7 linked regions of the Cricetulus griseus genome follow. The protein of the gene in region 1 interacts with the protein of each later gene in a pairwise test. Links are inferred from orthologs where the notes say so. Each region holds a gene or a part of one and is shown in the gene's direction. Other genes may lie near its edges. The genes, in order: Ubxn11, Rhobtb3, Ushbp1, Eif4e2, Eif4e, Tle5 and Psma1.

Region 1 (4,534 bases):
AAGACTGTGGACAAGATAGAGAGGCAGTCAGTGGAGCAGGAGAACTCCGTCCTGGAATTGAAGATGGAGACCCTGTGACTGTGGAAGTTATGCAGATGAGTCTCCAAGGTCTCCTAGCACTTATGGCTTATCTGAAGATGGAGACCTCAGAGAGAGTCCCAGGGACTCTAAGATGGTACACTAAATGAGAAGGGCTGGGAAGTGACTCTGAGGACAGTTTAGCGGTGCTTCTCAAGCTTCCTAATGCTGCGACCCTTCAACACAGTTCCTCATGTTGTGGTGACCCCAATCATAAAATTATTTTGTTGCTACTTCATAACTGTAACTTTGCTACAGTTAAGAATCATAATGTAGGCTGGGTGTTGGTGGCACACGCCTTTAATCCCAGCACTCGGGAGGCAGAGGCAGGTGGATCTCTGTGAGTTCGAGGCCAGCCTGGTCTCCAGAGCGAGTGCCAGGATAGGCTCCTAAGCTACACAGAGAAACCCTGTCTCGAAAAAAAAAAAAAAAGAATCATAATGTAAATATTTGATATGCAGGGTATCTGGCATTTGACCCCCCACAGGGTTGCAACCAACATGGCTGTCCAGGGACTCACTCTGTAGCCGAGGTTGGCCTTGAACTCAGAGATCAGTCTGTGTTTGCTTCCAAAGTTCTTGGACTAAAGGCATGTGCCACCACCGCCTGGCAAGAAATACTTTTTTTTTTTATTATTTTTTATTTGAATTACAAACAAGATTGAATTACATGACCATCCCAGTTCCCTTCTCCCTCCCTTCCTCCCCTACCACCCCCCAACTAACACCCAGCCTATCGCATAGCCTTTCTTCTAACCTACACCCGACTCAACCTATACCGGTGTTTCATAAGTACTTTGCATTAATCTCACTTACCCATCCCAGCTACCCTGTCGGGTAGGCATTATCTTCATTTTACAAGGAAATGAGATGTCAGTGTGTCCAAGGCCACACCTTTGCCTGGTGAGGACAAAATTTGGAGTCCTAACTAAACTGTCTGTGTCGTTAGTCTAAATTTATTTATTTAGTGATTTTGTTGTTTTATTTATCTTTTTGAGACAGGGTTTCACTGTGTATGTAGCCCTGGCTGTCTTAGAACTCACTCTGTAGACCAGGCTAGCCTTGACCTCAGGACTGCTTGCTTCTGTGCTGGATTTAAAGTCGTGCGCTGCTACAGCCTGGCTTTAGTAACTTATTTTGTGTCGTGTCTGTATGGAAGTCAGAAGACAGCCCCTGGAGTCCTTTTCTCCTGCTACGTGTGCCCCAGTGATAGAACTCAGGACGTCAGGCTTGGTGGCAAGCGCCTTTACCCGCTGAGTCATCTATCTCTGAGGCTCAAGGACTGGAATTTATTTACAAACTGGGAGTGGGGTATGGTACCCAATTCTTCCACATAGGCACTAGAATTAGAACTTTACTTCATAGCATCATCTAGTCCATAAGTTAGAGGAGAAACTGAGACTTAAATATTTATTAAGGAAACTGCATCAGTCCAATTCATCGCTTCATGATCAGATGGGGAAACAAAGGAAACGTAGCTCAATCTAGACACTGTAACCGTCACATCTCCAGGGTCAGAGGGTCCAGCCGCCAAGTCCAGGTCTCTGACCTCTGACCTCGTAGAACGGTGCATTCTGGGATCTGTAGTATCCTGAGCCGCTCTTCTTCACCGTGGGCCAATAGTATTCGGGCACAGTCGGCTACACCCGCTTTCGTTGCCCGCCGGTTCGTCAGCGAGCCTCTGGGAGTTAGCCAATGAGAGGTGCTCGGCTCCTGGTCGCCAAGGAAACCCCGAGACAACAAGATGGCGGCGCCGCGGGACGGCTCGCTGGGCCCGTGGTGAGTCTCGGCTCCTGGCCTTTCTGCTCCGCCAAGTCTTCCGGGCAGGCCGGAGCCCCCGCCCCGGCTCCGAGGCCCCGCGGCCTGCATGGCTCGGCTCAGGAGGGCAGCGGGGACCCCGCTCAGCGTGTCCGTGCGTGGGCGGAGCCGAGGGCGGGCTCCCGGGGCGGGGTTTGGGCGCCGGGGCTTCGCCCTGCAAGCGCGCCCAGCCATGGGCCGGGAGGGGCGCGCAGCCAGCCAGCCGGTGCTCCCAGAGCCCAGCGTGTCTGGGGATGAACGCCTAGGGCAGCCCTGAGTTCGGCCCTCAAGGTGGAGAAGCGCAGGACACGTTTGTAACCCTCACCAGAGGCGACAGCCAGGCCTTTACAGCCTTCGTCGGTTGTGACGGACTGGGAGGCGCGACTGCGAGTGTGAAGCTCGTCTGGGTTACATGGCCAATTAGGGCAATTCCGCGAGACCTTGTCTCATATTTTAAAAAGTAAATGGAGGCCAGGTGTGGTTGTACAAACCCTTAATCTCAGCACTCGGGAGGCACAGGCCGGCCTGGCCTACATAGTGAGACTCTGTCTCTAAAAAACAAACAGTAACTAAACAAAATAGAAGGCTGGGGCTGTTGGTCTGTAATTTTTTTTTTTTTTTGGTTTTCGAGACAGGGTTTCTCTGTGTAGCTTTGGAGCCTGTCCTGGCACTCGCTGTGGAGACCATGCTGGCCTCGAACTCACAGAGATCCGCCTGCCTCTGCCTCCTGAGTGCTGGGATTAAAGGCGTGCGCCACCAACGCCGGGCCAGACCTGTAATCTTAACTACTCGGGAGGCTGAAGCAGGAGGGTCACATGTTTAAAGTCAGCCTGGACTTTAGAGCCAGTTCAAGGCCATCTTGGGCCAAGACCTTCCCTTTTCTTTATATACAATTTTATACGTATACGTGAGTGTCTGCATGTATGTATGAGCACCACGTGCGTGTCACAGGAAGCCAGAAGAAGGCATCAGATTTCCTGGAACTGGAGTTACAAAAGGGCCATGAGCTACCTACCATATGGTTGCTGGGAACCAAACCCAGGTCCTCTTCAAGAGCAGCAAGTGCACCTAACCTCTGAGCCATTTTCAAGCCCAACACTTTATTTCGTTAAAAAAAAAAAAAAGACCATAGATAGAGTGTATCAGTGCTGCACTTACATAGCACGTATAAGGTCCTAGGTTCACTCTCCAGCCCTGAAAAAGTGAATTAAAAATAAGTTTAAGTGCCTGGTGTTGGTGATGCATACTTTTTAGTCCTAGCACACGGGAGGCAGAGGCAGGAGGATCTCTGTGACTTCAAGGCCAGCCAGGGTTAAACATTGAAATCTTGTCTCAAAATAACAACAAGGGTTTAGGGAGACAGGTTAGTTGGTGAAGCCCTTGCTTTGCAAGCTTGAGGACCTGACTTTGATCTCTAGAACCTACTTACAAAAACAAAACAAAACAAAAAAAAACCCCAAAAACAGGTGTGAGGGTTGGCAAGATGGCTTAGTGGATAAAAGGTCCTGCTGCCATGTCAGACCACCTGAGTTCCATCCCCAGGATCCATGTGGTGGAAAAAGAAAACTGAGTTCTTCAGGTTATTCTCTGACTTCCAGATGCTCACCATGGTATCCATGTGCCCATACACACATAATAAATAAATAAATGAATGTTGAAAACAAAACAAAACAACAACAAAAAACCCCACACGTGGCACAGACAGGCCAGGCACTTGTCATCCCAGTGCTGGGAAAGTGGAGGCAGGTGGATCGCTAGGGCTTGTAGCTGGCCACATTAGATTGTTTGACAAGTTCTAGGCTAGAGACAAACCCTATATATTTAAAAATAAAATAAAATGTGGAGAGTGCCTGAGGATGACACTCTGGGTCCTCAAAGGACTCATGCGTATGCACCTATACCTGTGTGTACTCACATCCACACAAATAAATAGTGGTGGCATTTGCAGGACTCTGACCACCGGGGAGATGAGGCAGGAGGGTCACAAGTTAGAGGCCATCCTGGACTAGGTATTGAGACTTGTCTCAATAACAGGACAAAAAATGGTTTTGCTGGCTGGTGGTGGCAAACGTCTTTAGTCCCAGCACTCGGGAGGCAGAGGCAGGTAGATCTCTGTGAGTTTGAGGCCAGCCTGGTCTCCAGAGCGAGTGCCAGGACAGCCAGAGCTACACAGAGAAACCCTGTCTTGAAAAAACCAAAAATCAAAAATCAAAAAAACAAAACAAAACAAAACCCCTATGGGCTGGAGAGATGGCTCAGTGGTTGAGAGCACTGGCTGTTCTTCCAAGGTCCTGAGTTCAGGTCCCGGCATCTACATGGTGGCTCAAAAACATCTGTAATGAGATGTGGTGCCTTCTTTGGTGTGCAGGCATATATGCAGGCACTGTATACATAATATATAGATAAATCTGTTTTTAAAAGGAGCCCTTTTCGGAGAGGCAGTGGCACACACCTTAAATCCCAGCAGTGTGGGAGCAGAATCAGCCAGGTGGATCTCTTGAGTTTACAGAGCAAGCTCCAGGACAGCCAGGGCTACACAGAGAAACCCTGTCTCAAAACCTTAATTTTATGCTTTGAAGTGGTGAAGTATAGGAAGTGTGTCTTGGTAAAGTTATGTAAGAAAAAAGGTGGTTATATAGTATATGATTCTACTTATATAG
Region 2 (3,872 bases), about 280 Mb from region 1:
GGTCTATCAGTTGATGTCATGGGATCTGCTAAGCAGTTAGGAGGTGATGTAGGCAGAGCATCGCATTTCCAGTTAGTTCAATGGTCAGGGGCTCATGCTAACGTCAGGCTATTGATTACTCTAGATACCTGAGAATAGAGGCATTTAGGGAACCTAGTGGATGCTCTCATTTTAGAGTTTTGGAGCACCTCCTCTAACAAGGAAAGGACTAGACAATAGCTTTTGTGGTCCTCACATCTAGTTGAATGTTTTCGAGACTTTTGATACTGTGAGCCTCCTGATCTGAGGATGTGGGCGTTTAAAGGCTGCTACTGACTTTCAAAACCAGACTCCCCTAAAAACTTTGCCAGGATGCTTAGGATCTATTTGTATAACTAACCAAAGGCTATCTTTGGCCATCACACATTAGTAATGTTAATAATAATAATGTGTATCAGCTACACAGTCCTTTCGACTAGGCACAGAAGCCCCTTGGAGTGTTTTATCCCATTCTGCCACCAGGTGGCGCCCTCCTCAAACACAGCTGGAATGAGCACCACATACACTGGTGACCTAGGAGATGAGGCCTTGTTCACAAAAGCCAGCAACCCTAGGGAAATGAAAACCATACCTTTCAGATCATACCCCCCTTTTGGCCTCCATGCTTTAATTTTTAGATTAGGAAATTTTCCTACATTTGTTGTTTAAATAAAATTGAATAATTCCTAAATGAAAGGACAGGGTTTCCAAAGAGAAAATTACTTCTATAGTCAAAGTGTCTCAGTATCCCAGTTAGTCGTGTTTTGGAGTTGTTACTGCCAGTATTAATAAGGTCTGGCTTGTTATTTTTGTTTGGTGAAAATGAAGGCATTGGCTCTTAGTGGAAATAAATACTATTTTCTCAATACTGGAAATTTGAATAATTAATAAAAACTTTGACCACTAGTTTTTTTGTTTTTTGGTTTTTTGTTTTTTTTGGCTTGTTTGTTTTCTTTTAAAGATGTACCAAGCTTGATGGCACACACCTTTAATACTAGAACTCAGGAGGCAGGAGTAGTTGAATCTCTCAATTTGAGGCCAGCCTGATCTACACAGTGAGTTCAGGACTGCTAGGGCTACATAGAACCTATCTCAAAAAGCCTAAATAAATAAGTGAATAAATAAATAAATAAATATACAAGTGTACTATTGCATTAGCACAAATCAAGGTGGTATCTCTAAATTGCTTTAGTGATTGCATTATATAGTAGCACACTCAAATTTTTAAAGTCCAATTTCCTGTTTCAATGTTTTACTAAAAGGCTTATTCATAATAAAAGTTATAAATTTACTGTTCTTGTTTCATTTCTGTTGCTGTGATAAAATACTCTAATAGGGAGTAACTTATGGGAGAAAGCATCTATTTTAGATAACAATTCCAGGTCGAAGTCCATATTCCAGGTGGTAGGAAGCTGGGGCAGTTAGTCATATCATATCCTTGGTCAAGAGCAGAGGGAAATAATTGTATTCATCCCTTCTGCTCAGCTCACTTTCCTACTCTAATACAGTCCAGAACAAGCCTCGGGAATGGCACTGCCCACAGTGGGCAGGTCTTCCCACAGACATGCTAACAGGCTAGCCTCATCTAGACGATCCCTCATTGAGACTATCCTCACATGATTCTAGATTATGTCAATTTGACAATTGCAACTGGGCCAGCACTCTACACCTGAGCCATATGCACAGTCCACACCTAACACAAAACTTAACTGTGTGATTTCCAGGGGTGGACAAGAGGGAAAGTGGGGAGTGACTGTCTGACACTCACAAGGCTCAGTCTAGGAAGATGAATGGTGCTCCGGAGAATAAAGAGTGGTGATGAGTAATCCCTGCACCAAGGAAGGTAGAGAGAGAGAATCCCCAGAGCAATCCCCAGAGCAGGCTGGCTAGCCAAACTAAACTGTTAAAGACCCTGTCTCGGTGTACAAAGTGGTGAGCGATGGAGGAAGACACCCAGCATCAACCCTGGGCCTCCACACACAAATAGATACCACATGCATGCACGCACATATAGATACCATATGCATGCACACACACACGGATACCATATGATTATACACACAGATAATATGTAGTCACACACACAGATACCATATGCATACATAAAGAGATATCGTAGGCATGCAAGCGCATGCGCGCGCGCGCGCAAGCGCACACACACACACACACACACACACACACACACACACACACATTTAAAATTCTAGGTTTTGTGTTTATTGTGCCCCAAGCCTGGGCACTAAAGCAAAGAAAGAAAAGTTAGGAGTGGAGATGTAGCTCAAATGGTAATGTGCTTGCCTAACATGCAGAAAGTCCTGGATTTGATCCACAATACAGTATATTGAGCAAGACTGTACACACCTGTGAATTCAGCACTCAAAGATAGAGGCAGAAAGGTCAGAAGTTGAAGGTCGTTCTTGACTACATAAGGAGTTGAAGGCTAGCCTGGGATATGTGAGACCCTGGAGTGGGCACGGATGGAGGAAGAGGAAAAGATGAGATTTAGAGTAGCTAACAGAAAAATTTAGCCTTATCACACACACTTGGGAGGCAGAGGTAGACAGATTTCTTGGAGCTCAAGGCAAGCCTGGTCTACACAGTGAGTTCCAGCCCAGCCAGAGTTACACAGTAAGGTCCTGTCTCAAAAAAAAGAAAAAAAAATTAGCTAGCTCTCTGTTGGTTAAGGGCAGCTACTGGAATTCTTCTCTAGAGAGCTGGGGATGGGATTCTCTTTGGAAATTAAAGTTTTGTTTTGTTTTTTTTTCCGAGACAGGGTTTCCTTGTGGCTTTGGAGGCTGTCCTGGAAACTAGACCAAGCTGGTCTCGAACTCACAGAGATCTGCCTGCCTCTGCCTCCCCAGTGCTGGGATTAAAGGCATGCGCCACCAATGCCCGGCTGAGTGTGAAAGCTTTAATGGATTATTTAATATGTAATACAAGTTAGGAATGTGCTAATGGGACTCTTTCTAGGAATTCTAGTCCACACTGAAGGATAACTGCCTGCATGAGTGTGCACGAATGCTCGTGTGTTTGTGTGTGTGTGTGTGTGTGTGTGTGTGTGTGTGTGTGTGTGTGTGTTGATTGGGAGTTTTGTTGCTACTGCTGCTGTTGTAGCTCTCACTAGGCTGGAACTCAGTGTATAGATTAGACTTCCTTCAGCCTCACAGAGCACCACTACCTCAGCTTTCCCAAGTGCAGGAAGTAAAGTGTGCACCAGCTACCCCCAGCTCGTGCTGTGCATGTTTGAATTTTGTTCCCGAAAGCAGTAGTCTAATAATCCATCTTCTCTCACTTCCTCCTCCCAGCTGGCATTTTCCAGGCCATGTGTCTTTTGATCTGTGCTGAGATGTACCAAGTCTCCAGACTGCAGCATATCTGTGAGCTCTTCATCATCACACAGTTGCAAAGCATGCCCAGCAGGGAGCTAGCCTCCATGAACCTGGACATCGTGGACCTGCTCAAAAAGGCCAAGGTGGCTAGCCCTGTGTGTAGGGTGGGAGTGGGGAGGGGGAGTTAGAAGGGGAGGGGGCCTCTTTGGATTAAAATACACTTATACTCCTTGGTTTTCTGTGTTTTAACAGCTATGTCAAGACTAGTATTCCTTTCAAGGTTTGATTTCAGGAGGCTCTAGTTTCTGTGCACCAGTTTTTATGATGAAGTAATTCTGAAGCATTCACTGGGTTAGAAATCACGTCTACATAATTTTTTCTTGTAGTGGTCATAATCCCAGTTACTTGTGGCTGTGCTCTGAACATTAGCATTACAGGAAATAGAATTTTCCTTCCAAAAGATCATTTCTCAGCATGACTGAAAGGAACATGGCAGGATTAGTCTATGTATACGGAATGACATAG
Region 3 (4,464 bases), on another chromosome or scaffold:
CAGCGTCTAGGCGAACACCTGAGCCACTTTTGGACGCCCGGGTCCAGCTGTGCCTGAAGCCTTTCCTGAGCGCCCCGCTTGCCTGGCTGGCTCTGGCGAGCCTGTGTCTGGGTTCCCGCCACCCGCGGCTACGGCTACCGCGCGTGGGGGACCGGGCCGTGCACGAGGGAGGGCGCTCCCGCGGGTGATCAGGTCCTGGGGCAGCAGGAAGCCCAAGTCGCCGACCGTGCAATGATGCGCGTTTCTCGGGGTGGCGACTCAGGACTCCGGAGCCCCCACCTCCTCAAGCAGAACGAACCTGGAACTGCAGCAAGCCGGATCGATGTCCGACCACAACGACAAAAAGCTCGCACGAGATCACACCGCCAGGTTCCACTCTGCAACCTAGGAACCACAGCCAGTCAATCACAGGGTTCTAGGAAGCCGCCATCTTCCTGACCGGAAGTTTGCACGGTGCTGCCGTAACGTCTTCTGGGAAATGTAGTTCAATGGCCCCGGGATCCTGGGGGTGTGCCTTAGAGCACACTGGCAGGAGTGGGGCTGAAGTGGGGTAGTGTTAGGGATGGGTGTGACAGAACGGGGTTGACTGAAGCAACACTACACTTGTCAAGGCTTCTGCTGAGATAGGACAGGAGCCGACCTGGGCGGGGCTGATTGGTGATTGACGCGGTGGGACTTGACGTGGATTTGCGTCATGTATTTCTGCTTCGTCTTTTACATATGTTGGCACTCACCAATACCATCGCGATGGGGGCTGGGGAGCACACTTGTCATCTCCGCACTCCAGAGGGCAGAAGATGACGTCAGGTGTTAGGCTAGCCTGGGCTATACGAGACACTTCTAAAAGCCAAAATGGAAAGGAAAAATAAAGAAAATCCCGCAGATACCGTGGACAGGCTCCTTGTCCCGGGGGAGCTTTCCGGCGCCAACAGACGGTGCTCTGCTTGAAGAAAACCGTTGTGGGTCGGAGAGCAGGTGCGGCCACCACCACGCCTGACCGAGGGAGAGGATCGATCCCACGAGTGCTTGCAGCTCACCCACCACAGACACAAATAGATAGAACAAAGTAATGAAAAATAAAATTTATTCCAATGTTGGAGCCCACGCCTACAGGTTTGTTATTTTTAATTTTAGAAACACACACAAAGAGAGAAACAGAGAGAGAGAGAGAGAGAGAGAGAGAGAGAGAGAGAGAACAGAGAGACAGAGACAGAGAGGAAACACACAGACACACAGAGAGAGAGAAACACACACAACAGAGAGACAGAGACAGAGAGGAAACACACAGACACACACACAGAGAGAAACACACACAACAGAGAGACAGAGACAGAGAGGAAACACACAGACACACACACAGAGAGAAACACACACAACAGAGAGACAGAGACAGAGAGGAAACACACACAGAGAGAAAGAGAAACACACACACGACAGAGAGACAGAGACAGAGAGGAAACAGAGAGAGAGAGAAACAGAGAGAGAGAGAGAGAGGCAGAGAGAGAAACGCAGAGAGAGAGACAGAGACAGAGAGGAAACACACACACAGAGAGAGAGAGAGAGAGAGAGAGAGAAACACACACAGAGAGAGACAGAGACAGAGAGGCAGAGAGAGAAACGCAGAGAGAGAGACAGAGACAGAGAGAGTAACACATACACACACACACACACAGAGAGAGAGAGAGAGAGAGAATGAGAGAGAGAGAGAGCTTACAGTAAGAGTGAGCCCTGGTGAACCTGGGGATGGACACTGAGAAACCCTGAAATGGAAACAGAGAAAGGGACTGCAAGTTTGGGCTGGGCTGTTAGCCTGGAGTGGCACAAGGGTCCCAATTCTCCATCCTGTCCACATTCTGGAGGAAGCTGACATCCTGAAGAAGGAAACAAGACAATAACTCTCCATGTGACCAGGGCAGGAGGCTTCCTGTTTCTCAGCCCCTCCCAGGCCAGCCTTGGCCAGCACAGCCTCAGCAGCCAGTGGCCAGGATGACCTGAGATGTGCCCAGGCACTCAGGCCTTTCCCAAGGTGCCCTGGAGCAGAGGAGAGGGTGGAGCCCCCCACTCCCAGGGGAGGGAGCTTGGTGCTAGGAGAGTCCTGGGAGGAGAGCAGATTCTTGGGGTCCCTATCCCATACCTCCATAGGGGAGAGAGGGGGACACTGATGAGGGAAAAGCACCAGAGAAGGGGGCAAGAGGTTGGGGCAAATAGACAGGCAATGGGCACCATCGGAGAGGTATCCAAATGTTCTGTCAGTGCAGTTGACCAAAAATTCCTAGGGTGAAAACCGAATGATACGGGGAGACAAAGGGAAGATCTGAGAGCGGGCTGTAACCAGGGGGTTAAAGAGGCAATGAGCGCCCGGGCCACTAGGCCCCGAAGCCGCCGAGGGAGGCATCCTCAGCCTGTAAGTGTGCCCCTCTTCCTGCTTCACCCAACCTCATGGATCCTGGAGCCTAGGCCTGCTTGGACTAGAACCTGCCGTGGTGGGGTTGTCATTTTCAGGGGGAGCTGGACCCAGTGGCTGAGAGCTCAGAGGAGGTGGAGGCCACCAATGGGAGCTTCGAGTCCAAACCTGAGTTACTTCAGGAGCACCTTGGTCCTGACCTGCAGAGCCCAGGGAAACGGTAGGACGAATTTAGTGCTTACTTCCTGTTCCAGCAGGAGCCCCTCACAAAGCTGCCCTGCCCACCTCTCTTAGTGTCCATTGCCTCCTCTATCCCCCTCCATCTCTCTCTTCCCTTCCTTTTCCTCCTCAGCTCACTGCCTGCTCACCCTTCCCAGGGACCTTGAGGTCTAGCCCTGAAGCCCCTGCTCAGACTCAGGTGGCTGGGGTTCCTGGGTTGTCTTTCCAGGCCTGAGGGTGATTGTGACATGGGATCCCACGGGGCCATAGCCTTGAAGTCAAAGGTGGAAGGCCACCAGACCCTGCAGGCAGCCCCTCTGGATACCAGCTCTGGTGCCACATCAGTACCCAGTGTGTTTGAGACCCTGCAGAGCAGGCTGAGCTCCCTTGAGGCCACTGTGGCCGCCTGGCGCCACCGCTCCCGAAGCTTTCCAAGGCCATTGGAAAAAGAAGAGAGAGACCAGATGGCATTGGAGCCCTTTGATGGTCAGGAAGAAGCCTGGCCTGAACAGCACGAGGCAGCTCGCCTCAGAGAGAGGAACGCCTGGCTGCGGCTGGCCCTGGGCCGCCATGAGGATGAGCTGGTTTGCACTCAGGCTTCCCTGCAGGATGCCCAGGCAGAGAAGGAGATTCTGCAGAGACAGGTGAGCTGAACAAACACACATTTATTCATTCAACAAACTGATGTGGAGGAATGACAGCCACAGAAGTGACCAAGGAAGACAGCAAAGTGAAAGAGAGGGTCAAAAGGAAGCCAGGCAGGGTGCACCCCATGATCTCAGCACCCCAGAAGCTGAGGAGAGACAGATCTCAATCAGAGGCCACTTGGTCAAGACAAAGGTCATTCTCAGATGTAGACTGAGTTCAAGGCCAGCCTGGGTTAAAGACCTGTGTCAATTTTTCTGTTTGTTTTTTAAAAGTTTCAGAGTACCTCAGTGATAGAGGCTTTGCCTAGAGTGTGTGAGGTCCTGGCGCGCGCGCACACACACACACACACACACACACACACACACACACACACACACACGTGCGCGCACACACACACACACACACACACACACAAATCAATCCAGTCTTAGGGTTTCTATTGGTGTGATAAAACACCACCACTAAAAAGCAATTGGGGAGGAAGAGGCTCTTTTCATATTAAAACTCTCAGGCAAGGAGGGACTACCACAGTATGCAGGATGTGGAGGCTGAGCAGGACTGCAGCTGTGCTATGTGTACTGCGAAGCCCCAGAGGGTTCTGGGTTCTGCGGGGAATTGGACCTGCTGGAGGTGTTCCCTTGCGCCATCTGCTGACCGTGGAAGGAACAGCCTGGTGGTGGACCATGACCCTGGTGGTGGGGGAGGGGCGATAACAGTGGGCCCGGGGAAGAGTAAGGTGGTGGTGACCAGAAATGGGCAGATTGTGTGTGATGTTAAACCCAGGTGTTGTGGGACAAGCCTGTCATGCTAAGAACTCTAGAGCCTAAGACAGGAGGATCACAATAGCTTAGACAAGATAGGCAAACGTCTCAAAATAGAAGTAAAGACAGACTGGGCTAGGGTGCTCAGCACTCAGTTTGGAGAGGCTCTTCTCACCAACATAAAAATGAAACTCTCCTTCCTGAGTGTGATGGTGGGAGACTGAGGCAGGAGGATGGCTGGAGCTGGGGAGATCCAGAAAACCCAGGGAAACACTGAGTCTCCTAAAAATTAAAAAGGAAAAAAGTCAAAAAGGCGGGGGCTGGAGAGATAGATGGCTCAGCAGTTAAGAACATTCACTGGTTGTTCTTCCAGAAGCTCACAACTTCCTGTAATTCCAGTTCCCAGCAACCCAACACTCTCACACAACACAC
Region 4 (3,872 bases), about 420 Mb from region 1:
TGAGACTAGGGGTACCACTTCGTTGGAGGGTATAAGGCTTTGGGTTCAATTCCTAGCACTGAAAAAAAGGGGGGAAGGTATAGAGAGGGAGGAAGAGGGTAAAAAAGAGTACATGGGTCACTGGGTGTGACCAAAGCTTGGTGGATGTGTGTATGGAAATATCACAGAGAAATCCTTAGTATTCATTTATAATTACAAGTTTTAAAAAATAGTGGAATGACCAGAGATCATTTTGGAACTTAGAACCTCCTCTTGTCATGAGGTCTTGGGATGCTGCATAGCTTTACAGTATCCTCATGTGAGATGGAGTCAAGGTTCTTAACTGGGATTTCTTTAAATCCTACACATTGCTATTTTAGACTCTTCAGTCAACAGTAGTACACATTGAAAAGTAGCTTGGGATAAAGAGAATTTAGGGAATGAAAGATAAGTGGGTCAAATTTTTCAGTATTACAGCCCTTTTTATCTGATAATCCTGAATGCCTGCCAGATATAAGCATTTACTTCTAGAGAGTAAGAAGTCACAAAGATATGAGTGGTGGTGGTGCATGCTTTTAATCCCAGCACTCAGGAAGCAGAGACCAGCAGATCTCTGAGTTGGAGGCCAGCCCGGTCTACATGGCAAGTTCCAGGACAGCCAGGGCTACACAGAGAAACCCTGTTTTGAAAAACCAAAAAAAAGGCTGGGCGGTGGTGGCACACACCTTTATTTCCAGCAGAGGAAGGCCAACCTGGTCTACAGGGTGAATGCCAGGATAGCCAGATAGCCAGGGCTGTTACACAGAGAAACCCTGTTTGGTGACTTGGCGGGGGTGGGGGTGGGGGGTGTCACAAGGGCAAGAGAGCCTGTGGCCTGAGGAGCTTATATTCACTGAGCACTTGCTGTGTGTCAGGCAATGCCCAAGCACTCTGTGCTTCTAGTTCATTTGTTCTTCACAGTGACCCTTTGAGATGGTTATTGTTATCTCCATCTTGCAGATAGGGAGCAGGTTTAAGTGACCTGCCAATCTTTAGTAATGAATGTTGAAGAGACAGACCTTGGAGTGGGCATATGTTGAGATAATGAATGCCCATGGTGTTATAAGAAAGACAGAAAGTTGTGTTACAGCAATGTGGAGTCATCTAACCACCGAAGAATGTACTATGTGAGCAGACTCCTGCACATTGCAAGTAATTGAAATTATGGTATTATTTTCAGTTGTGGAGGTGGGAAGGGAGCTATACTTTTTTTGTTCATTTTTTCAAGACAGGGTTTCTTTGTGTATCCCTGGCTGTTCAGGAATTCAATCAATCTGTCAACCAAGGTGGCCTCAAACTCATAGATCTGTCTGCCTCTGATTTGTACCACCATGTCTAGTAGGTTTGATGCTGTGAAATATTTATTAAGGATCAGAGAAATGGCCCATCAGACACAAGCCTGATGATCTGAGTTCAGTCCCTGGATCTCACAGTGAGATGGGAAGAACCAGCCCTGAAAGTTGTCCTCTGACCTCCACACACATACCATGGCATGCATACTCCCACATTCTGTCTTTCACACATTATACATGATGATAATGATCATAATTTTAGAAACAAGGTGCTGAAGAGATGATTTAGTAGTTAAGAGCACTTGCTGTTGTTACAAACCAGAGTTTGGTTCTCAGCACCCATGCTGGATAGTTACAAGCCCTCTTCTGGCCTTGCAAGCACCCACATGCATACATGAGCATGTACACGTGTATGCACACAAATAAAAAAAAAAGTAAATCTTATAAAAAAGACAATATAAATGTTAGGACTCACATCGATGTAACAAATGCCATGAACTAACTTAACTTTCTATGCTCCCCAGGCTGTTGTCCCTGGACCAGCAGAACATCCCCTGCAGTACAACTACACCTTTTGGTACTCTAGGAGAACCCCCGGCCGTCCTACCAGTTCACAGAGCTATGAGCAGAACATCAAGCAGATTGGCACCTTTGCCTCTGTGAGTACTTAGTCTGGTGGAATATACAGCACTCATATACCTTCATTTCTTTCTGTCCCTGTGTCTGCCTTCCTAGTAACCTGCTAAACATTCTTGAATGGCTTGCACTCCCTCAAGGTCATATTTGTTCAATTCTTAGGTAACATTTAGGTAATCTAAGTATGGAAAAGTAGCTTTGATCAGAAAGGCATAATACAAAAATAAAAAGAGTTTTGGTTTGAGGTTTCTTACTTTAACAGATGTTTATTGAGTCCTTATATAGAGAGTGTCATAAGAGAGACAGATTTACCGTATATGATGTCCATCCTCATGAAATTAGATTCTGACAATACAGAGTGCTCGGGCTCCTCCTCACCACAGCCCATCCTTACCCTCCCTCCTGGCTCTTTACCCTGACTATATACAGCTAACACACACAGCTAAGTGTACCTTGTTCAGTAGAGATTTTCCTGCACCCCTGTGTGCTCTATGTTCAGTCTGTGTGCAGAATCAGTTTTCTAAGAATGGGTCTTGCTGGGTAACCCAACTGGCCTGGAGCTTGCCACAGTCCTATCTCAAGTGCTGGGATTACAAATGTGAGCCACCATACCCAGTTTATTTCTAACACAGAAGCCGTCAGAGAAGTTTGGATTATCTGCTGTATGGGAATGTTAGACTAGTTTCTAAGTACAGTGGCAGCCACTATGTTAGGAAGACATTTTCATTCAGAGTTCTGTTGAATTATTTCAGAATAACTATGATTATGTCTTGCATTTTTCTTTCCTATACAGAAAAAATGTTAAAAAAAAAAAAAAAAGAAAGAAAGAAAGAAAGAAATGTGAGTTTACCCCAAGGAAACAAGGGAATTTTATGTTATCTTTTTTTCCTTGTGGCATTCAGATGTTTGCCATCAACACTGTCAGTATTCACTGGACAAGTGATAGAGCCTAAAGTCTGCCATCATAATCCACAACATTAAGAAATAGCCTGTGGCTAGACGGAGGTAGTGTACATCTTCAGTCCCAGCACTCAGGAGGCAGAGGCCAACCAGGTGTACAAAGTGATTTCCAGGACAGCCCTACACAGAGAAACCCCGTTGCATTGAAAAATCTTAAAAAAAAGAAAAAAGAAAAGAAATACCCTGTGATACTAAATCCCTCCCAGAGAAGTAATGATAACATCAATCCTTTTTCAGATCTAAAGCAATAGTTCTAGTGTTTTGGTTTTTTGAGTTTCTTTTCTTCCTTTTCTTGTTTCTCCCTTTCCTCTCCTTCCCTCCCCAGCCCTCCCCTCCTTTCTGAGACAGAGTCTCACTGTACTGGCCTAGAATTCTAGTCACTATATAGACCAGGCTGGCCTTGAACTCACCAAGATCTTCCTGCTTCTGCCACCACCTTTGGTCTAAAGGTTTATATTTTTACTTTTGTTTATGTATATGTGTATATGTGCACACATGATTGTAGGCACCCTCAGAGGCCAGAAGAGGGCATTGGATTCCCTACATCTGGAGTTACAGCTGATATGAGCCTCCCATTGTGGTTGCTGGGCATCAAACTCCAGTCGTCTGGAAGTACAGCAAATACTCTTAGCCACGGAGTCATCTCTCCAGCCCAAAGGATGTCTTTTCAAAAGCTCCACTTCAAGCCAAAAGTACTAATCACTGACTCAGGCTGAAAAAGGACCTTTAAGAGCCATTGCAGCTCCTTTTCCCATACATTTGGGAAAGTGGGAGTCTGCCTAGCACAGAGCCAGGACAGCACAGGTTGTGATTTTGTGTTTTGAGACAGGGTGTTGCTAGACCTTATTCTGACTTGGAACTTGTGAATCTCTTGCCTCAGCTTCCTGAGAAATGGCACCCATAAGCCACAGCCCCTCACTAGAATGCTGCTCTTGCAGAGGTCCCACAGCACCCACGTCAGGTAGC
Region 5 (3,598 bases), on another chromosome or scaffold:
ACCTTTAGGATGTATTTTCTTTGGCTTACCCAGGTCACCTGTTCTAGAAAAAAAAAAAATCCTTGTGTGGTGCTCACGTGGCATTGCATATACTAAAATTGAAACAAAATAGAAATTAGTATCATAAGGATGACATGCAAATACCTGAAGCATTTTATGGGTTTTGTTGTTGTTGTTGTTGTTGTTTTGATATTTTTGGGTGTAACCTGAAAATATCTTGTTAAGCAAAGTCGGAAAGAGAAATTTCATGTTTTCTCTCATATGTAGAACTTAGGTTTAAGATTTGTATGTGTGTGTTTGTAGGTCATGAAGCTACTAACAGGACCTAATGAGGTTTGGAAATAGGACAGTGCGTACATTCTATTGGAAAGTACAAGGATGGGCTAAAGGGAAGCACTGTGGGGGTGGGGAATCCGCTGTCTGGAGTGGAAATGAGATGATGATACCATGACACAAGTATGAAGATGCCATGGGGAAACCACTACCTTTATACTAATCTAAAAATACCTATAAAATAAAAACACATTTAGAAAAATTAAGGGATGCTTTTCCTGCTGACTGACAGTCACCAACCCTTGCTCTTTAAAGGCAGTGTCTGACTACACAGCTGTGCTGGGGTTGAGCCCAGGATCCCCCTTCCTCCAGCCTTGGAATGCTGTGGGTTATATACATGTCCATGAGAGTGTCTTGTATATGTCGGTCTGGTGAATGATTATATTATCTACAAGTCAGATACAAAGTGATTGACATTAATTCCACCTTCTACAGTCAGCTCTCCCCTGTCATCTCATTAATCAAAAATGATAGGATCTCACAGTTTGTAATTGATGTAAGTTTTTACAACCCATTCATAGCATTGCTGATTAAAAGTTACAAAATTTTGAAATCAGTGTAATCAAACTAAGCTTATTGGTTGATATTATTTGGTGTATGTGTCTTGATATGGGACTTTAGCACTTTGGTTTTATAAATATGAAGTCATAAGCATTTTCTATGGTCAGGTTCTGGGGAGCAAAGTTCATGGTTGATGCTTTTTTTGTAACCACTTAGACTCCATACCTGATTTATAGTTAGCTTTTACTAAGTGAATAAGCACTTACTACATATGTGTATCAGTAATATTTTAAAGCAAAAGTTACACTTTTGGAGGAGAATGAGTAAATATCATTTTGGAATCCCATAGGACAGTGGTTCTCAACCTTCCCGATTCTGCAAACCTTTAATACATCATGTTGTTGTGACCTAACTAAAATTATTGTTGCTACTTCCTAACTATAGTTTTATCGATTGTAGTGTAAATATCTGTGTTTTCCAATGGTCTTGGGCAACCCTTGTGAAAGGGCTGTTAAGTCCCTAAAGGGGACATGACCCATGACCCACTGCCATAGGAAAAGGGACATTTCACTTTTGTAAGTTAAAAACAATTATGGCTATAGATTCTAGTAACAGTTGCTCAGCAATGTTAAATGTGCTTAATGCTAATGAACTCTACTTTGAAACTGTTAGAACATGGCAATTAAATGGGAGCATAAGTAGCTATTTCAGTCATCTTGCTAATGACTGTTTGCCAACAAACTAAGCAGTCGAGCAGATGGATATTAATGAGATCATTTTTGTGTGTGCCCAGTTTGCAGAAAAAGTTAAAACATTTGAATTTTCTTAAGCCAAGGTAAAAAAATATATAAATGTTTAAATTTAGACAGTTTAAAAGTCAGGGTTTTGTTTGTTTGTTTTTGGTTTTTCGAGATGGGTTTCTCTAGCTTTGGAGCCTCTCAGCACTCACTGTGAACCAGACTAGCCTCGAACTCATAGAGATCAGCCTCTCTGCCTCCCAAGTGTTGGGATTAAAAGCGAGTGCCACCACTGCCTGGCTAAAAGTCAGTTTTTAAGTTGGCTTCTGGCTCCACAGGTGGGAGTGCTTGCTGCCAAGTTTTGAGTTTAATTCCCATAACCTATAGGGTGGAAGGGCAGGACCAGCTGCTGCCAATTGTCCTCTTACTCGGTTTGCCATTATGTGCATGTCCTGTCTCCATCCCCACCAAAATGGCAACAACAAAAAAAATTAAGAATCAATTTCTTTATTCATTTGCTTTGTTTTTGTCTCTGTAGATCAAGATGGCTTCAGACTTGGCAATGCTGCCTCTGCCTGACCAGTTTAAGAAGTCAACTCTAGATTTAAAAGCTGCTTTCTTTTATAATGTACACCTAGAAGAGCTCTTTGCTTTTCTCATTGTTGTTGATATGTTTCATGTAATTTGGGTGTTCTTTTTTTTTCAGCTGCTGTGCCTTATTGGAGAATCTTTTGATGACTACAGTGATGATGTATGTGGAGCTGTTGTTAATGTCAGAGCTAAAGGTGATAAGATAGCAATATGGACGACTGAGTGTGAAAACAGAGACGCAGTCACACACATAGGGTGCGGCTTTTGTTCTTCCTACCTACTTTGACAGCGTTAACTTGACTAAATCATCCACCTTTAGAAATTTGGGCGTTATGAGCTGTTATTTTCTTTGTAAATGTTTTATGAACACTTAGAAGCTTGAACCCTGTTGATACTGAATGTGTTTGTCTTCTGTAAAATGCTTTTGTGCAGTGGTGTATATAATTGCCTAGGCTAGTTGAATGAAGGTAGCGAGTCATGTCCATGTTTAGAGCCAACGAGTTTATAAACTTTTGTATTTTGTCTTGGTAAGTTTTATTCTTTATAAATGTGGCCAGTCTCCTCCCCCTCACCTGGCCCCTATCAACTTAAATCAGTAAGAAGAAAAATAAAATTTGATTGTAAGTGGGATTTATAAGAAAGGAGACGTTCTTGACTTGTCATTTTTCATCTTTTAGTTACACATTTACTTGTAGGAATGTCGTATTTCTTTAAAATAGAAACTAATTTGTTATGGATGTTTTATATCAGATGTTTTGAAATCTAAAAACATTCAGTTTTTCAAGGGATTTTTTTGTTTTTGGTTTTTTGAGACACGGTTTCTCTGTAGCCCTAGTTGTCCTGGAAATTGCTATATAGAGTAGGCTGACTTTGAACTTTTGATCTGCCTGCTTCTGCCTGCCTCCTGAGTGCTGGGATTAAAAGCCTGTACCACCACGGCCAGGCTGAAAATAGCTTTTTTTTTTTTTTTTTTTTTTTTTTTTTTTTTTTTTGATGCTTCTTGACTTTTTTTCTTTTTCTTTTGATTTTTTGAGACAGGGTTTCTCTGTGTAGCTTTGGAGCCTATCCTGGCACTCGCTCTGGAGACCAGGCTGGCCTCGAACTCACAGAGATCCGCCTGCCTCTGTCTCCTGAGTGCTGGGATTAAAGGCGTGCGCCACCACCGCCCGGCCAGTTGACACATTTCATCTACTCCTTCCTTTCTTTTCTTTCCTTCTTCCTCTTTCTTTCTTTCTTTCTTTCTTTCTTTCTTTCTTTCTTTCTTTCTTTCTCTTGTTTTGTAAATACATTTTTAATGGTAAAGTGTATATTAATCTGTTACAATGTTGTTCTCATACTTGTTGTCAGATTATTTATTTCAAAAAAATACCTGTTGAGGCCAGGTGGTGGTGGCATAAGCCTTTAATCCTAGTACTCAGGAAGTAGAGGCAGTTTGA
Region 6 (4,405 bases), on another chromosome or scaffold:
TGACTTTCTAAGTCTTGAAGACACTGGCCTGTTTGGAATCAGAGGGTGACACCAAGAAACCGGGGCTGTACGTCCCAAAGTGAGACAAAGGACAAAAGGATAGCTATAGGGAAAGCCGGCCTGGTACAGGAGAGGCATGGATTCAGGGTTATCCTCTGCTACAGAGTTCCAGGCCAGCCTGGGTTACATGTGACCCTATTTTCATTAAATAAGATAGTGTCAAACTCACCAGTGGGACTGTTACCAGAAGCCCTGCCATGAGCAGCGGCCTTGCCTCCTGGGGTCCAGTGTGTGAGTTCTGTCCCAGGGGCTTTGTCCTTGTCCTATGGGCCAGAGAGTCTCCATGCTCCCTCTTCCCCTCAACTGCATACCCCCCCCCCTTAGCTCCTCACTGGGGCTGGGCATCCTAGTGGACCAGGCCTATTGGGCCTATTGTTTCTGCTCTCTCTCTCTCTCTCTCTCTCTCTCTCTCTCTCTCTCTCTCTCTCTCTCGGTTTTCCGAGACAGGGTTTCTCTGTGTAGCTTTGCAGCCTATCCTGGCACTCGCTCTGGGGTGCAGGCTGGCCTCGAACTCACAGAGATCTGCCTGCCTCTGCCTCCCGAGTGCTGGAATTAAAGGCGTGTGCCATCAACGCCCCGGCACCTCTGCTCTCTGATCTTTGTGGGTCACCTGTGCATAACAGTCGACTTTTGTCAGGGTCTGTCTCAAGTATGGGACAGACAATTGCCATACAGCTCAGGCTGGCCAGAAATTGTAGGAATCCCTCTGCTTCAGCTTGCTCTGAAATGTTGGGCACTAATTAGCCCCGGGAACTATTTTCCTTTTATATATTTATGTTTTTATTTTAATTATTCTTGAGAAAGGGCTCATGCAATCCTGGCCAGGCTAGCCTCAAACTCAGAGAGATCTGCCTGCCTCTGGGCCTCCGGAGCGCTGGAATTAAAAGGTGTGCACCACCTCTGTTTCCAGTAGGTCTCTAACTTTTGTTATTTTTGAGACGGAGGCTCATGTAGCCCAGGCTGTATGGGAACTCACTGTGTAGATCAGGCTGGCTTCCACCTGTCTCAACCTACCTTGCACTGGGATTAAAGCCTTGCACCATCACTCAAGTCTTTTACTTTCTGTTGCTGTTTTGAGATTGGGTGTTTTGTAGCGCAGATTGGCCTGGAACTCTTGGTCCTCCAGCCTGTACACTTCAGTCAGTGGTGACAGGCCTGGCCCCTTCCTACCTCCGTGGGACGGGTATCACCGTGCCCCCAGCCGTGCCAAGCCTCCCCTCCCCACTCCAGAGAGGGCGAGGCACACCGTAGGCGATTCATAAATGCACCTTGGGGTCTGGGCACTCAGACTGTGGGTCTGGGGCCTGAGAGTGGAGTGGGGGATCGAGGCAGGCTTCGGGCCAGGGCTCGGGGCCGCGGCGGGGGCGGGGCGCGCGGGGCCAAGGTCACGGGTGGGGCGTCCGGCCTGCGCAGTGCCGGGCGCGGCAGGTGGAGCGGGAGCCCGGGCGGCACCGCGTCGCCATTACACAATAGCGCGGGCGGCGCGGGCGGGCGGCGGGCGGCGCAGGAGGCGGGACGCGGGGCCCCGGAGCTGCCGATCGGGGACAAAGCGCGGCCGCCCGGCGCCCCCCGAGCCGCCCGAGCCGGGGCGCAGCCCGCGCCCCCCGCGACTGACATGATGTTTCCGCAAAGCCGGCACTCGGTAAGGGGGACCCCGCGCTCTGCACCCCGGAGCTCGCCCTGCACCCCCGGTGCTCGCCCTACATCCCCAGCTCTGCTCACTGAACCCCCGGAGCTCGGATCCCGCCTGTCTCCCCGCCCAGGGCCTGCCCCAGGGGCTCCCACCGGCGCTGTCCCCGGGGTCTTTGCACCCAACCACCCAGGCCGTGCGCACCCCACCGGCCCAGCACTGCATCCTTCAGCCCGGACCCCTGAACTTTGATCCCGGCCTCGAGCCCACCCCGTGCTGCCTGCCCATCCCGACTCCGGACCAGCCTGTCTCTCAGCCCGGGGCCCCGCACCCCACTCCAGCCGCATCCGGCCTGTCTCCCAGCCCTGGGGCTCAGGCCCAGGGCTGCAGCACCCCAAGCCCAGGCCGCACGTGTCCTCCAGCCTGAGACCTTGCACCGCCACCTCTGCGCTCCCGCACCCCTCCGCACCAGCTCGCTAATGGCCCCAGACCAGCCTGCCCCCAAGTCCAAGGCCCTGCACTTCCATCCCTGCCCCCAAGTCGGCTGCCCCGCACCCCAGAATATAGGCTCCGTACCCACTGCCTCTCCCCCGAGCCCTTTCGGGCCTGGCGTCACCATCCGGGCCCAGCGCCACCCCCCAGCCCGGCCCTGTGTCCTGCAGCTGCAGGCCTCGCACCCCAGAGGCCTGCCACCTCCCAGCCCCCATCCTGCACCCTCAGTACCGCAGTGTGGGGGACCCTGCGCCTTTATAACGCCCACTGTGCCTCTGCCCCTGTCCGGAGCCCGAGGACCCCCCACGCCCGCCCTCCCCCAGCTCCAGGCGCCGACCCCCCGCACATCCCTCCCACCCCAGCTCCCGGTGGCCCGGCAGCCCCCACCCTGCTCCCAGCCTTGACCCCAGACTCTAACTGTGCTCCCCAGATCCGAAAACCTTACACCCCAACTCCTGGCCCAGTGTCCTCAGATGCCAGCCCTGTGCATCCCCTCACCCCCAGGGACACCTCTCGGCCCGCCCCTGCACCCTAACATTTACCATCTGCCTCCCTGACCCCAGGCCTGTCTTCCTCCCATGGCTTTCACTGGGGCTGGGGGGAACCCCGCGAGGCACCCCTGGGGCTGGGCAGCTTTGGGGGGAGTCCCCTGAGGAAACAGGTGTGATGGGGGTACGCCCAGGAAGTGTGGGGTGGTAGCTAGGTGCATCTTCCAAGCTGGCTTTGAAGGCAGGCCTGTGTCCTGTTTGACGTAGAGGGGCTTCCCGGGGACCCCTCAGAGGCCGCTGGAGGATGGGGTGCCTGCCCCCCAAAATGACCAACGGTAAAAGCGCCTCCTTGCCTGGGGGCCTCCCAGCCCCCTGCAGGCTTCCTAGGAGAGTGCTGCTGGGGCCTGCAGAGCTCAGCCAGGAAGTAGGGCGTGGGCGGGCAAGCAGGCCCTCACCCTCCCGCACCCTCACCCGCACCCGCAGGGCTCCTCCCACCTCCCCCAGCAGCTCAAGTTCACCACCTCCGACTCCTGCGACCGGATCAAAGATGAATTCCAGCTGCTGCAAGCCCAGTACCACAGGTGAGCCCGCGCCAGGAAGGCCGCACCCCCAGAATGTAGGGGTTATCTGTGGTCTGGAGAAAGGCTGGGAGGGGGTGGAGGCTTGAGGGTCAGCAGTTCAAGGTCATCTTCAACTACTTAGCAAGTTAGAGGCCAGCCTGGGATACATACCACCCTGAGTCCAAAACCAAACCAGCAGCCCCGTAGTGTGGAGGGGGAAACCGAGGCACACAGTGTGTGTTGCTTCAGAAGCCGGGTCCCCAGAGAGCGTGATGCTCTCATTTTAACACAGGCTGCAGTGGGTGTCCAGAGAGGGTTATTAATCAGCCAAGGTCCACACAGCCCCTCCTTCTCTTTCTGTCCACTTATGGAGTGGGGGAGCTTGCTGGTGTCCCACAGACCATCCAACTGACGGGCTCCCACAAACTGTTTTCCTGTTTCTCATGTGTGAAACTAATCACTCTGAAGCCCAGAGAGCTCAGCCATTTCCGAGGGCTGCACAGCACAGAAGCAGCCTGAAGTAGGGGACTGGGGAAAGCGTGGCCTGGGGTCCCCATTTGACCCTGTACTCCCAACAGTGAGTGAGCATGGGGGTGCGGCCCAACACTCAGTTCTCAGACACACAGGAGGAGGATGGAGGCGTTTTGGGCTAGCCTGAGGTACAGAGCAAACCTATGTCTCAGAAAACAAATAGTAATAATAGTAATAGTCTTTGAAAGATACTCAGAGTTCTCCAAGAAAAAGGAAATCTTGGGTTTGTGATTTTTTTTTAATTTATTATTTTTACTTTTTGGTATTTATTTTGAGACAGGGTCTCATGTAGTCCAGGCTTCCTCCAGCTCCCTTTGTAGCCAAGGATGACCTTGAGCTGCTAACAGTAGATGACAGTCAAGAAGGGGCCCAGTGGAGCTTCATGTGCTAGGTCAGTGGAAGCTACCTACCAGGCCACAGCCCCAGCATTTGTCATTTTAGAGAGGGCACAGGTGTGCCCCCCCCCATGGTCTCCCACTCGGGTCCGTGGCCCCGCCCTCCTCAGGGATGCCTTCTCTGAGCCCGGGCCTGAGTTCCTGGCTGGGGGAAGTCGAACTCGGGAACAGCATCCACACTGAGAATAAGTTCCCTGGAGATACTTTTTATCATTTTCCTCCTTTGCCTTGGTGCTTATGGCTGAGCCA
Region 7 (4,623 bases), on another chromosome or scaffold:
TCCATTATTCATTCAACAATACAAATTAAGCACTTTTAATATGTGTGAGGTTTTGGGCTGCTTTGGGGCAAACAAAACAACTTTATCAATTTAAAGTTAGAAGTACTTTTTTAAAATAACAAGAGCCTGAGCTGGAGAGATGGCTAATGGTTAAGAGCACTGGCTGCTCTTCCAGAGGACCCAGCACCCACATGGCAGCTCACAGTCATCAATAACTGCAGTTCCAGGGAATCTAACACCCTCACACAGACATACATGCAGGTAAAACATCAATGCACATAAAATTTTTAAAAATTCTAAAAAAATAACAAGAGACAGTGTTGGTAAATTTAGAGAACAAAGCAATCTCATAAACTGTTGAGTGCATATAAATGGGGGAGGGACTGAGAAGGAAAGAAAAAAGACAAGAAAAATAAAAAGGGGAAAAAAACCAACAATAAAACAGGGACCAGCACAATGGCTCAAAGGATTAGGGCACTTGCTGCCAAACCATGAACCTGAGTTCAATCTCCAGAATCCACATGGTGCAAGGAGAGAACCAACTCCTTCAAGTTATCTTCTGACTTTCACATAAGTGTATGCAGGGCCAGAAACATACACATAAAATATATAAATAAATAAATGTGAGAACAAATACATATACATGAAAATATTTAGAAGGTGATACTAATTGCTCTGAACGTGAACATTTAAGTGACGTGTTGCTCCGCCTTCAAAGTTCAGATCTTTAAGGATCCTTAGCCGACTCTGGGCACTTATCCTTTCTTCAAAGAATTAGCAGTCTGTAGATATGTTAGGTAGGCAGCAAGCGCAGAGCTGTCTCGATTTCATTTGAGGACAAATCAAAAGATGCTCTTTAAAAATTCGTAAGAAAACCCACAGCTTCCCCCTAGTGGCCTAATCTACCAGGCATAGCATTTAGTTGTGGACAGCCTATATTCAATATCAGAACAGAACCCTGGTGAAGTTCAAAGTCCCAGAAGAGCTAGTAATGTTCATGAAATGGGCGACATGACCATGGAACCATGAAGGATGGGCTGGCTGTCCAAGTACTCAAGATATTCCAGGCCAGAAACAGGAACACACACCCCACACACATACACGCACACACACCACATACATACACACCACACACACACACACACACACACACACACACACACACACACACACACTACGGTTACACACACACACACTACAGTTTTGTGGCTTTTTCTACAGCCTTTTTCACACACGCACACACACACACACACACACACACACACACACACACACACACACACACTACGGTTCTGTGGCTTTTTCTACAGCCTTTTTCAGACACACACACGCACACACTACGGTTCTGTGGCTTTTTCTACAGCCTTTTTCAGACACACACACGCACACACTACGGTTCTGTGGCTTTTTCTACAGCCTTTTTCAGACAGGCAAGTCCCCAAACCTCTATGGACTGTGACCGACATGATATGCGGCACGGCCGCATCATCCCGAGTTGGGTTGCGTTCAGCCTGGTGGATCCAGAGTCGGCGGGAATCTGCAATCCACCGGGGGAAATAAAGCAAAGAAAGTCAGTGCATTGGCGAGCAGCCACGCCCGACTGTCTCTGCGCACAAGCAGGCGAGCCCCGGGCTTTCCCGCCAATCCCAGTTCCTTAGCCTTACCAGACCCCGCCCACCCAGAGCCCAGCTGGAGGGCGGGGGAGCGCTAAACGCCGATCCGTGGCTCTGGGATAGACTGTGCTCCCTGCGCTGCCGCCGTCAAAACTCGGCAGGCCTCCCTGACGATCACCGAACCGTAGTTGGGTCCGTGTTCCTGGGTCGGCTACTGTGTCTGATTGTCGCCACGCCGGAGCCATGGTGTGTTGAGCCCTGGGTCCTCGGAGGGTTTGGGGCTGAGGTCCGCTGACTCGGTCGGGGATCGGCCTCTGTTTCCTGCGGCGCGGGGCGGTGGGAGAGGGAGCTTGGCTCACGGATGGGCTCCGGCAGTGATTCAGCATCTGCGGCCTGGCCGACGAGGAGCGGCCGGTAGCCGGGGAGGCCTCTGGGGTCGCTTCTCCACTATACACGGGGTCCAGACGCTTCTTCCTCGGCCAGCTAGCCACGCTTACCCCCTAGCTTCCCCCACTTAACTTCCGTGGCCGATTCCCGGCGACCCTGTGGTCCCTCGTGACTGCATAGGAGTGAGAGGGTGGAGAATGCACTTGGCCTCCCGGCACCGCCAGCGCGGACCTGAGCCGACAGTGAGGCCCTTAGACAGTGCCCATCTTCCTTATGGGTCCTTTTGGCTTTATCCGACTCCTTAGAATGCTTAGATTTGTCACCAGTTACAGATGAGAGGGGAAGTGATGGAATCAGGTTCACAAGGTAAGAGCCCCGGGCTGCTTCTGTCGAGCCTGCCATAGGAACTCTGATCCTCTCACCCTCAGGAATGTTCTCCCAAGCGCGCACACACACTTGCTTTAGTAGTGGCATTATAACAGTAGTGGTTCTGCCACTGTAGCTGTTTGTGCCCACTTCTTTACCTAGGATTTGTGTGTATGTTAATTCATTCAGTGGCAAGGTGCAAGAAGAGAACACAAAGTTAAACCAGACATAACTTTAATCATAATGTAAAGATAGAAGGTGTGGTGGTACACGAATTTAATCTCAGCACTCAGGAGGTAGAAGCAGGCAGATATCTGTGAGTTTGAGGCTGGCCTGACCTACATAGTGAGTTCCAGGACAGCCAGAGTATAGAGACCTTCGTCAAAAAAAAAAAAAAAAAAGTGTAGAGTAGATCATGATAGCACACAGCTGAATTTCAGCACTTGCAAGGTTGAGACAGGGCTTCAAGGTCATCTTCCCAGGTACATATCTTCCCAGGTACGTGGCAGATGAAGGCCAAACTGGGCTGCAAGAGAAAAAGAATGAAACCTTAAAGAGATAGACATTTGAGTCAATTTAAAGGCCTTTGGCAAATTATTAGAGCCTTGTATAAGAGAACAGTGTAAGCAAAGAGGAAGAAAAGTTGATATGTACATATTTTAGCCCCTGACTGCCCAAGGAGAGTGCTGTGGAGAGTGGCAGACTAGGAAATTAGGAAGACCCTAGACCATTCATCCCAACAGCTCATGGTTAAGGTAGACTTGACTTGCAAACTGTAGTAATGTCTCAGGAAAGTTGCAGGAGCAAAAACGTATGTAAGCACATGTCTTAATGTTAAAATTTGAGGTTTATAATGTCTCATAGTAATCTGTCTTTGTTTCACTTTCAGTTTCGAAACCAGTATGACAATGATGTCACTGTTTGGAGTCCTCAGGTAAGATTTTTTTTTTTTTTTTCCTGCTGTGTCTATGAAGTGGCTTTTCTTGGCTTCAGTAGGTTCAGAAACTTGTGAGATTGTAAACTGTGCTTGATGGTGCATATCTTAATCCTTACTGGTCAGGATACTGAGGCCAGAGATCATGGAGTTGGAGGCCAGTTTGAGCAGCTTAAAAGACCTTATCTTTAAAAAACAATGAAATAAAACTTGTGAAATTATAGGCTGTGAGCTTAAAGTTAGTTAGCTGCTCAATGGGGGAACACACCTTTAATCCCAGCATTCAGGAGGCAGACAGGTGGATCTCTGTGACCTCAAGGCCAGCTTGGTCTATAGAACGAGTTCCAGGATAAGCAGGGGATTGCACAGAGAAACCCTGTCTGAAAAGGCAAAACAAAACAAAAAATAGTTTATTTGTTTTAAAACTGAACTTCAATTATGCTCATCTAAGATCTGAAAACTTAAATTTTTAGTTAAAAGGATCTAAGGACTGACTATAAGAAGTGCTTTTCTTTTTGTCTTCAGGGCAGGATTCATCAAATTGAATATGCAATGGAAGCTGTTAAACAAGGTTCAGCCACAGTTGGCCTAAAGTCAAAAACACATGCAGTGTTGGTTGCATTGAAGGTAAGTGGAATGATATACTGTCTTCCTCCTTTAGGAAACAACTATCAAATGTAAATTTCACTGATAAACAAAGCTGTAAACTATCGTACTATGTCTCTATTTAGAGGGCACAGTCGGAACTTGCAGCTCACCAGAAGAAAATTCTCCATGTTGACAACCATATTGGTATCTCAATTGCGGGTCTGACTGCTGATGCTAGACTGTTATGGTACGTATGACCATGAAAAATTAAGTATCCCTTTTGATTCATAATGATTTATTTTACTAGAAAATATCCTAGTAACATATTTCAGGAAGTTGTCTCCCAGAATATAATAATTTTTAATTATTTTATTTTATACATATGAGAGTTTTGTCTGCATGTATGATTGTGTACCAGTGTGTGCCCAGTTCCTCAGAAGCCAGAAGAGGACATTAGCTTCCCTGGTATTGTGAGCTGCCATGTGGATACTGGAAATTGTATCTGGGTCCTCTGAATATTGTAATTTGTAATATTTGGGTGTGTTGTTAAGTATTCCCACTCCCTAATTCTTGTAGTGTTATTAAACATCCTAATGCTTTTCAAATGTCCTTGCATGAGGTAGTTGTTGACATGTATATTGTTTCAAGCCCTGTATTCCTAAGAGCTGGACATGCCTTGCCTTAAGGATGACCTGAGCCATTCTAGTTTTCTTTTATAGGTTAATATTTTTTATA

The links.
Region 2: the proteins of Ubxn11 (region 1) and Rhobtb3 interact in binary tests that used the Homo sapiens proteins (3 or more experiments, as listed by UniProt). The two-hybrid records come from large-scale screens. The link is inferred for Cricetulus griseus from reciprocal best matches to the Homo sapiens genes UBXN11 and RHOBTB3.
Region 3: the proteins of Ubxn11 (region 1) and Ushbp1 interact in binary tests that used the Homo sapiens proteins (3 or more experiments, as listed by UniProt). The two-hybrid records come from large-scale screens. The link is inferred for Cricetulus griseus from reciprocal best matches to the Homo sapiens genes UBXN11 and USHBP1.
Region 4: the proteins of Ubxn11 (region 1) and Eif4e2 interact in binary tests that used the Homo sapiens proteins (3 or more experiments, as listed by UniProt). The two-hybrid records come from large-scale screens. The link is inferred for Cricetulus griseus from reciprocal best matches to the Homo sapiens genes UBXN11 and EIF4E2.
Region 5: the proteins of Ubxn11 (region 1) and Eif4e interact in binary tests that used the Homo sapiens proteins (3 or more experiments, as listed by UniProt). The link is inferred for Cricetulus griseus from reciprocal best matches to the Homo sapiens genes UBXN11 and EIF4E.
Region 6: the proteins of Ubxn11 (region 1) and Tle5 interact in binary tests that used the Homo sapiens proteins (3 or more experiments, as listed by UniProt). The two-hybrid records come from large-scale screens. The link is inferred for Cricetulus griseus from reciprocal best matches to the Homo sapiens genes UBXN11 and TLE5.
Region 7: the proteins of Ubxn11 (region 1) and Psma1 interact in binary tests that used the Homo sapiens proteins (3 or more experiments, as listed by UniProt). The two-hybrid records come from large-scale screens. The link is inferred for Cricetulus griseus from reciprocal best matches to the Homo sapiens genes UBXN11 and PSMA1.

The regions. Positions count from the first base shown.
Region 1 is NC_048595.1:19,189,909-19,194,442, reverse strand, and holds the start of Ubxn11 (UBX domain-containing protein 11), read left to right. Parts: upstream 1-1,702; 5' UTR 1,703-1,772; coding exon 1,773-1,856; intron 1,857-4,534. UniProt on the Homo sapiens protein: May be involved in the reorganization of actin cytoskeleton mediated by RND1, RND2 and RND3. Promotes RHOA activation mediated by GNA12 and GNA13.
Region 2 is NC_048595.1:297,028,694-297,032,565, reverse strand, and holds part of Rhobtb3 (rho-related BTB domain-containing protein 3), read left to right. Parts: intron 1-3,323; coding exon 3,324-3,490; intron 3,491-3,872. UniProt on the Homo sapiens protein: Rab9-regulated ATPase required for endosome to Golgi transport. Involved in transport vesicle docking at the Golgi complex, possibly by participating in release M6PRBP1/TIP47 from vesicles to permit their efficient docking and fusion at the Golgi.
Region 3 is NW_023276806.1:247,620,564-247,625,027, reverse strand, and holds the start of Ushbp1 (Usher syndrome type-1C protein-binding protein 1), read left to right. Parts: upstream 1-1,656; 5' UTR 1,657-2,026; intron 2,027-2,276; 5' UTR 2,277-2,350; coding exon 2,351-2,404; intron 2,405-2,502; coding exon 2,503-2,624; intron 2,625-2,852; coding exon 2,853-3,267; intron 3,268-4,464.
Region 4 is NC_048595.1:438,866,264-438,870,135, forward strand, and holds part of Eif4e2 (eukaryotic translation initiation factor 4E type 2), read left to right. Parts: intron 1-1,834; coding exon 1,835-1,969; intron 1,970-3,872. UniProt on the Homo sapiens protein: Recognizes and binds the 7-methylguanosine-containing mRNA cap during an early step in the initiation. Acts as a repressor of translation initiation.
Region 5 is NW_023276806.1:21,021,700-21,025,297, reverse strand, and holds part of Eif4e (eukaryotic translation initiation factor 4E), read left to right. Parts: intron 1-2,277; coding exon 2,278-2,417; intron 2,418-3,598. UniProt on the Homo sapiens protein: Acts in the cytoplasm to initiate and regulate protein synthesis and is required in the nucleus for export of a subset of mRNAs from the nucleus to the cytoplasm which promotes processes such as RNA capping, processing and splicing.
Region 6 is NC_048598.1:102,308,337-102,312,741, forward strand, and holds the start of Tle5 (TLE family member 5), read left to right. Parts: upstream 1-1,498; 5' UTR 1,499-1,675; coding exon 1,676-1,702; intron 1,703-3,153; coding exon 3,154-3,251; intron 3,252-4,405. UniProt on the Homo sapiens protein: Transcriptional corepressor. Acts as a dominant repressor towards other family members. Inhibits NF-kappa-B-regulated gene expression. May be required for the initiation and maintenance of the differentiated state.
Region 7 is NC_048596.1:86,388,390-86,393,012, forward strand, and holds the start of Psma1 (proteasome subunit alpha type-1), read left to right. Parts: upstream 1-1,708; 5' UTR 1,709-1,856; coding exon 1,857-1,859; intron 1,860-3,255; coding exon 3,256-3,300; intron 3,301-3,825; coding exon 3,826-3,927; intron 3,928-4,031; coding exon 4,032-4,135; intron 4,136-4,623. UniProt on the Homo sapiens protein: Component of the 20S core proteasome complex involved in the proteolytic degradation of most intracellular proteins. This complex plays numerous essential roles within the cell by associating with different regulatory particles.